Linked DNA regions of Macaca fascicularis. The protein of the gene in region 2 purifies or fractionates together with the protein of the main gene of each other region. This does not show direct contact. Links are inferred from orthologs where the notes say so. Each region holds a gene or a part of one and is shown on either strand. Other genes may lie near its edges.

Region 1 (3,813 bases), on a different chromosome or scaffold from region 2:
CCTTAGATTCAATTCCATGAGTTAAATAAGCATCAACTCAATTATGTTTCATTTGAAATATGTTAAAAATCAAAGAATGTGCACTCTCAGAGGAAGGAGGAGGCCACTCAGGGGCTCACAAGCTGTTCACTGGACATTTAACCGTTCTATGTCCACTTCAAATCCACAGATTAAAAGCGGGCATTCGCTGGATTATCATTGCCATCGTTTTATTCTTCGGATTACTAGTGAGGTATACTTTCCATGCTGTTTCTCTGCACAAAACAGCCATATACATATCTAAAACCAAACAGCAGCTTGTAACCCACCTATTGAATACAAACTGAAGTAGCCAGGAATATATATCAAAATATAAATAAAATGCATTATATGTAAATCTTAAAATGTGCCTCTTAATTACTGCTTTCTGCAAAAGTACTAATAATTCCTTACAACTACTAGTTAAAATGATGACATTTCTAATTCTTAAGATTACCTAAATAACAGAAACGCTGGCCTTAGACAGAAGATTAACCTAACTTGCAGCAGGGAACAGAGCAGGATCAACTGTCCGGGGTTAAAATTAGAAGTTAGGAAGGGCAATCACCAAAGATGGAAAGGTTATATGTTATCCCACTCTGAGGCACAGGCAACCTCCACATAGTCCTTGAGATTATAGCTACTCGTAATACTAGCATGTGACCACCCACAACCCTTGAAGATTACTTTTAGTTCTATTATCGTCTATTGCTCCTATAAGTCTTCCTATTTGTGGTATAACCCATCTTTAATTATTAACACAGACAGCCAAGAGGAGAGGCAAACTGAACAATCTGTCAAGCAGACAAACGGCACGGGGGATGCGGGGAGACAGAACGACGGCCGCCCTGCTCACAGGCCCTTTGCTGGGAAATGCTCTTTCCGCACTCTGGGTGGCAGTACAGCTCCATCCCACACACTTGAGCACACACAAAAGGAAACATCTTACCTCCGGGTGAAAGAATATTTCAGGTCCCAGGAACCTTTCATAACCAACGTCTATAACAAACTTCTTCTGGTTGATTGCGTTGATACCCGTGTACTGTTTGATCCACTTCCGGGGATCCACATCATACTTGGCAAATTCCTTGACTATATCAGGGCAAATGTAACAGTATTTCTCCTGCATACACACACAAAGATGTTGCCAGGCATTAACAACCGCCCAGTGTCTCTGCCCTCAGACAAATAACCAGGAACCCCATGCAGTAAACACGCCCTGGGATCAGAACCACCCCCACCGTCACTCCAGTGTGGATACGTGTCAGGTCTCACATTCCATCATCTTTCATATTAGGCATGGTTACACTTGGACTCTGGACAGGTAAGTCTGCTTTCTCTGCAACTCAGCTATTAATCTCAGCCTTGGTCTATCCAATTCTATCGCTATCATATCTGAAATGATGTCTGTAGGTGTCTAGAAATCACGTCTTGCCTTCTTCCTCTCAGGTGCCCCCTATGGCCTGCCCTGGCACCCCTCTGTTGTCCACACCGGACCAGCAGACCCATGCTGCAGCCTCACCTACCGAGAGCAGCACTGTCTACACCCTAACACCTGACTGCAGAGGCTTCTTTCAGTCCCAGCATCCACAAGCTGGGTGGCCACTGTCAACCTGCTGGTTGTTAATCTGGTGTGGAGCTGGCCACGGCACTGTCGCCGGCTCCACTGACACCATCTCTTTGCCTAGACATAGTGTACCTTGTTGACTGGGTCTTCTAAGTCCCTCAGTTAACACAGATTTACTGTCTAGGCACTTGGGAGACACAAGTGAGCGAAACACACACAGATCCCTGCTGAGATTACACTCCAGCTGGGAGTCAGACAACAATAAGCAACCATAACAAGTAAATGACATGGTAGGTTATAAAGTGATAGGTCCCAGGGAATAAAGGAAAAGGAGAGTCAGGGGGGAGGACTGGAGCTGCCAGGATGCTGCTGCTGTGAGAGAACCCGCTAACAATCCCCGCCCTGCACCGACAGGCAGCCTGAGGGATGCGAAGTGTTTCCTGAGTATCTGGTGAGATTAATATTCTTGGACACCTTTGTGTTGATACGTGTCCTTAGAGCTGGCCTCAGCCAAGCAGCAGGTGACCCCCAGGTACTCGCTGCCTACGGGAAACACCAGGTGGGCTGCCCAGCTGGCACTCAGCACACCGTGGAAGGAATGGTTCTCTCAAGGACCTCCAAAGACGTTCTTGTGGTATTAAGTTTAAAGTTTCTTAGCATCCCTGAAACATATTCTAATGCCATCTTCTGGGTATCTTGGATATACTCTAGCAGAATTTTAGGAAGACTGACAGGCAAGAAGTGTTACACAACCCTGTGTTCCTTGATGACACAGAGAAACAGGGTCAGCTGATTACAACCTCAAATCAACCAAGACTGGAGACAAAGGCATTCAGTTCTCCTCACAGGCCTGGTCAACATCCCACAGCATCTCAGCTCACTTAACTCAAACGCTTCCTATGAAATGCTTCCATGGAGTTGGGTGCAGAGTAACAGGCTTAATCTTAAGGTTCAGGATTCATGATGCAAAGGTGGTGTGTTCACGGTACACACTCCCTCAGGCCTGCTCACGACCACAGAAGGCCATGGCAGTAAAGGGAAGCAGGGGGAGCTCTAAACCACGCCTTTCAGGATCTGTTCCTTTAAAGAGAGAAGTGAGGCAAGAACTAAAAGGGCTACCCCACACAGCAGGGCCAGGGCAGCTGATTTGGAGGCTATGAACAGAGTCTCTTTTACTCCCAGCCTTCACAGGAGGGTGACACACAGTCACATCGAGCACACCAGCCCAGATTTCAGGGTCCAAATTGGAACTCCAACAGCCCTGAGGAGAGTGTAAGGCCCAGCATGAGGGTCAGGAAAGCCCCTCCTTAGCAGTGCCGCTCAGCAATCCTGGTGGAAATAGGAAGGACTCAGACCCACTAGAGTGGACCCTGGGTATCAGTAACAAGAGGCTCTTTTTTTTTTTTTTTTTTTTTTTTTTTTGAAATAGAGGCGAGATCTCACTATATTGCCTGAGCTGGTCTCGAACCCCTGGCCTCAAGCAATGCTCCCGCCTCGGCCTCCCAAAGTCCTAGGATTATACGTGTGAGCCACTATGAAGGGGCTCCATTCTGACTTACATTTCTAACAGATTTGGAGTGGCAAGGGAGCTTGGATCAAATAGTCAAATATTCTTCCATTGAGGAAAGGCAAAGAAAGGAGACGGTAACCCCTTAGGAAAAATTTTAGTCTAAAAAAGAATGTCTAATGATACCTCAGGAAACCTCCCCCTGAGATGGAAGGGACCACGTCTTCCCCATGTCACCATTTCAGCACTGAGAGCCTCCTTCCCAGGAATCTCTGGTTCCAGGTAAAGTACGGCAGGTCATACCCAACTGCAGAGCCTGCCCCAGGCCAGTGCTTCCTGTCCTAAAAACACCTCGGGAATCATCTCTGATGCTTCCTTTCCTTCAAGCAGCCTCAGTTACGAGGTGCTGAGAAGGGAGGAAGGCAGTGAGGAGAAGGGTGGGTGTCAGGCTCACCCTCCTCAAGCTCCACTACACTCAGAAACTGTGCAGTAAAGGAAGGAGATGCTTATGGCCACACGTCACACCCACACCTGTGTGTGAATTTTGTGCAATAGCTCTGGATTCTAGGGTGGCAGTGTTCTGCTGCTGCAGTCGCCTCCTGATTCTACAGCGAAGCATGGAGGCAGTATGGAAGGAGCGCTCTGGTAGTTGAGGCTCTGGCAGTGAGGTTCCAGCTGAACAATGCGCCTCTGCATGCTGGTACACTGCACCAGCTACCAA
Region 2 (4,310 bases):
TTTTCAAACCTTTGTTCAAATTCAGCCTGAGTGGTCTCCTCTAAAAACACACACAAATGATTTCACTATTTGAATTCACTGCGTCTTACCATGCAGCATTATCATAACTACATTACAGGGCTATTTTTTCACGTGAAATTTTTACCTATCAAACTACATTATAAACTCTTCTATGTCAAAGTTAGCAAACGGTTAAAATATTGGTTTTTTTTTTGCAACTGCAGAGGATTTTACTAAGAATAAGGTATCAGCAGAGATCACTGTGTTGTAGTCTGCGACTCACCTTCACTGCCTGACTCTTGGTGTTGATAGGGGGGTTCTTCAGAGCTGCCTGTAGGGCAGCTGTCATGTTTCCTGTGATGGAAGTTAAGGGTGTAGCAGCAAAGCATGGCCCCCAGGAAAGTATTATAACCACTGGTTCTGAAGACTTGCTTTATATATAAAAAGAAAATTACTGGTCACCATGTTCAATACTGGAAATTCAATGTGTTGGTTTCCAGGATGTTAATCAAGGGCAAGATATCAAAAGCAAAACAGAACATTAGACTTTCTTTTTAATAAAGCAAAGACTGTTTCACCCTTGGTTCTAACTATCAAATGAACACCTTGATAGTCTTTCATTGCCCAGTGAGATACATATGCAAACATTACCTAGAGTGGTGTTAAAGAAATCCTAGGCCGGGCGCGGTGGCTCAAGCCTGTAATCCCAGCACTTTGGGAGGCCGAGACCGGCGGATCACGAGGTCAGGAGATCGAGACCATCCTGGCGAACACGGTGAAACCCCGTCTCTACTAAAAAATACAAAAAACTAGCCGGGCGAAGTGGCGGGCGCCTGTAATCCCAGCTACTCGGGAGGCTGAGGCAGGAGAATGGCTAAACCCGGGAGGCGGAGCTTGCAGTAAGCTGAGATCCGGCCACTGCACTCCAGCCTGGGTGACAGAGCGAGACTCCCGTCTCAAAAAAAAAAAAAAAAAAAAAAGAAATCCTAAAATATGTATCAGAATTATTAGTCCCCCAAATGAAATAACCTATTATCAACCAAAATATGTCTTTTCCTGTGATTCTAATTGAAAAAATAAAGACCAAACTTTTACTATATTCTATATTAACTGAAATGCTGGTAGAACATGCTGGCAGATTAGCAATCTCAATGATACACATTAGCAGTCTCTCAATATTGATGAAAAGAGGCATCACAGAAGATGTAATAATTCATATGTCCCTTAGGTGGCAGCTTAATTTTTTGCTTTAGATATTTTCTCTCATATTTCACAACGGTTATTCAAACTGTGTTAGACCATACCTATTAAATTCAGACTCTCTTTGAAAGCACTAGTGAGTTAGCAAGCATGAGAAACAGAAGGCCAATCAGACTGTCAGAATGTACCAGACATTCCCCTAAAAGGAAAACCACAGAGTTCACTTGTTCCTCCATCTCTAGTACCCCACCACTAGGGCTGTCTTTCCTGGCTGTATGTAAGGGTAAGACAAGACAGTATCTTTTTATTTTAAGATGTACTGATCAAAAAGCGGATCCACTGATATGGACACAGCAGTCACCATAAATTACCTAAAATACATTGGGGTTTCATAAAACACCATCTATCCATCACAAATGTTTTTAGGAAGCATGTTCACCATTTATCTTCCGAAGAAAAAGTTCTCACACACACAAAATCTCTGGTTGACAAGCTGTTATTTTCAAGGCTGCAAGGATTTCTAGAGAAGCATGCCTCATGTGATTAGCTCATTTTGTATGACCCCAAGCACTTATTTAAATAATGCAAAAGAGCAACAGCTAATTAATTGTGAAAGTTGTGGCAATCAAAGGACTAGCTATATATTGATAAATGTCTAATGCTGTATTTAGGTGCCTTTAAAAAAGGATACTGTTGCCATTAAATATTTTCACTCACATTTTCCTCATATAACAGGACATTGAGTCTTCCTTATGAATACACCCAATAATTAGAAATGCATAAAAAGCCAGTGTTTGAGATTTTCTAAAACTATAGCTTCGGTTTTTTGCAACATTTACATTTTTCTAAAAAAGATGTAATGCAAATACGGAGTCAAAGTTATGAATATTCAAATATGCAAAAACAGAAACCGGGAACTGACAGCCATATTTTAACTAAAATGGAATCAATTTTAGGAATACAAAAAATTGTATTCATTCCCCTCCCCCGGTTAACAAATTCTGTGCAATGTATATTTTGTCAAATCCCCCCCTCCCTTTTTTTTCTTTTTTTAAAGGCCAATGGGCTGAAAGCATAGGGGACCTCAATTTTCAAACCGTACCATCTACCTTCTGCCCCCGGTAAGGAATAAACTATCTTAATGCTAGCAATAACAAAAACACAACAAAAAACAAAATCACTAAGGAAAGACGCAGGTTCCCCACAATCAGAAATTTCTGGAGCTAATGTGACTCCGGGAAATAGAGTTGTAGGAAGAAAAACTTAGGCGCTCGGCACCAGCCTTCCCCACCAGCCCGGGCCGCCTTCCCCAACGCCGCGAAGGCGCGGCCGGCGGGACCGGTTCCCGAGGCAGGCAGGCACTCGGGTGCAACCTGAGGAATCTGGGGGCGTGGAAGGCGCGCGGGGGAGGGCAGGCTTCCAAGAGTGGGACCCTCGCGTCTCCTGGCTCCTGAGTAGGAAACGGGGGCTTCCTCCTGCCCTCTCAGAGCGGGAGACCCCAAAGAGACAGGTTTAGCCGCAGGTAGACAGGGCAGCTCCGCGCCGGGGCCCCGCGGAACCTTCAGGCTCCCGGGTCTCTGGACAAGGGCGGGCTGGGCTGGGCTAGGGTGGGGAGGGCGGCGAATGCAAGGATATTGCCGTAGGCAGGAGTCCACCTCGCCCTCATCGGGCCCGGCCTGGCCGTCGCCCCCATCTTCTTCGTCCACGAACTTGTTCTCGTCATATTCATCCACGTCCACCTTCCGGAACCGGGCTGACGACACTGTGTTCTTCGACATCCCAATCCCTACCAGCGGCAAAGGCCTCTTCTTGGAGCTGCCTCTACCTCAGCAAGCCGAGCCCAGCAGCCCACTGCCCGGCGCCTGATTCACTTCCCTCTTCCGCTCTGGGGCGTCGCCGGCTGCCGTGGCTGGGACGGTTCTGGGCCTGCGCGCCAACCCTGCTGCTTCCTCCTCAGGTTCACGCTCTCCTGGCGCCTCCCACGCCGCCCCCACTCTTTCACGGAGAGCGCGCGCGGGGGAGGGAGCGCGCAGGACACAGCGCGCAGGCGCGGGCTCTCCGTAGGCAAGGGGCGGGGCTGGGCGAAGGAGGAGGGGGCGAGAGGGAGGGCCGAAACCTGGATCGCGGGCGGAGGTAAGAAACGATTGGTCGTCCGAGTGCGTCACGTGATTCCCAGGGGGTTCCCATAGAAACGCTTTTCTGCGGTCCAGTCTAGGGGGTCTGAGGTTGTCGGTGATGGGCAGCAGCGGCAGGTGGCATTGACTTCTGCTGCAGCCGTCAACGACCTGTCATCCGGGTCCTGCGTAAGGTCCGACTGGCTGGGACTTGGATGTGGGTGGGATGGACTTGGCTGCCGGACCGAGTGCCCTGCAGTTGGCAGGAGTATGAGGCGGAGTGATGCACACCCGGGCGCCCAGCATCGTTCTAATTGCCGGAGACGTTACCTCGGACTGTGCGCTGCTAGGGGCTGCGTTCCTGAGCGGGAAGCCCGTTTCCTGGGGTTGGAACTACCCTACTTGGCCAGCGGGAGGTCCCCAAGGACGGAGTCGAAAGGTCAAATCTTATCTGTCAGTGCTGTGTGACAGCATCACGACGGGATCTGCAGAACCTGAACTCGGTATCAAATCTACTGGGAGGGAGGGGAATGTGTCCGGGCAGGCGCTGGGGTCGGTTGGCAAAACTGGGGTGAATTTGTAGAATTTGGGAAAGGGTCATTGACATCTTAAAATAGGTGGTTGTTTGGAGCAAGAATGCTGAAAAGGGGTGAGGGTAGGTTAGGCTCTCTAGTGCTGGGGGAAAACAAAATGGGTAAGGATTGGTGGAAACCAGACCTTTAAGATTTATATTATGATTTAAGATTTATATGATTCCATCTAGGCCAGATTTTAAAAAAAATATTTGACATCCCCATTTCCGGAATGTAGGAGATAAAGGCACTAAGACGAAGGAAATGGTAGTTGTGCTGTGTGTATTACACTGAAGAACAAATATTTGCAGGATAAAATTAATTTGGACATTTGGCTGGACATTGCTCAGGTATGGGTCTAGTTTAGTTGGACCTCGAACAGAAGACTGGCTGTTGTCCTGTTGTGTGCCACAATCTTTGGTTT

Evidence for each region.
Region 1: the proteins of ARPC5 (region 2) and ACTR3B purify together in Homo sapiens (affinity purification with mass spectrometry; 5 studies listed by BioGRID and IntAct, counting the BioPlex papers as one, with this or other methods). This does not show direct contact. The link is inferred for Macaca fascicularis from reciprocal best matches to the Homo sapiens genes ARPC5 and ACTR3B.

The regions. Positions count from the first base shown.
Region 1 is NC_088377.1:194,089,172-194,092,984, reverse strand, and holds part of ACTR3B (actin-related protein 3B), read right to left. Parts: intron 1,142-3,813; coding exon 968-1,141; intron 1-967. UniProt on the Homo sapiens protein: Plays a role in the organization of the actin cytoskeleton.
Region 2 is NC_088375.1:41,179,636-41,183,945, forward strand, and holds the start of ARPC5 (actin-related protein 2/3 complex subunit 5), read right to left. Parts: upstream 3,088-4,310; 5' UTR 2,979-3,087; coding exon 2,835-2,978; exon of another isoform or gene 1,892-2,834; intron 356-1,891; coding exon 284-355; intron 1-283. UniProt on the Homo sapiens protein: Component of the Arp2/3 complex, a multiprotein complex that mediates actin polymerization upon stimulation by nucleation-promoting factor (NPF).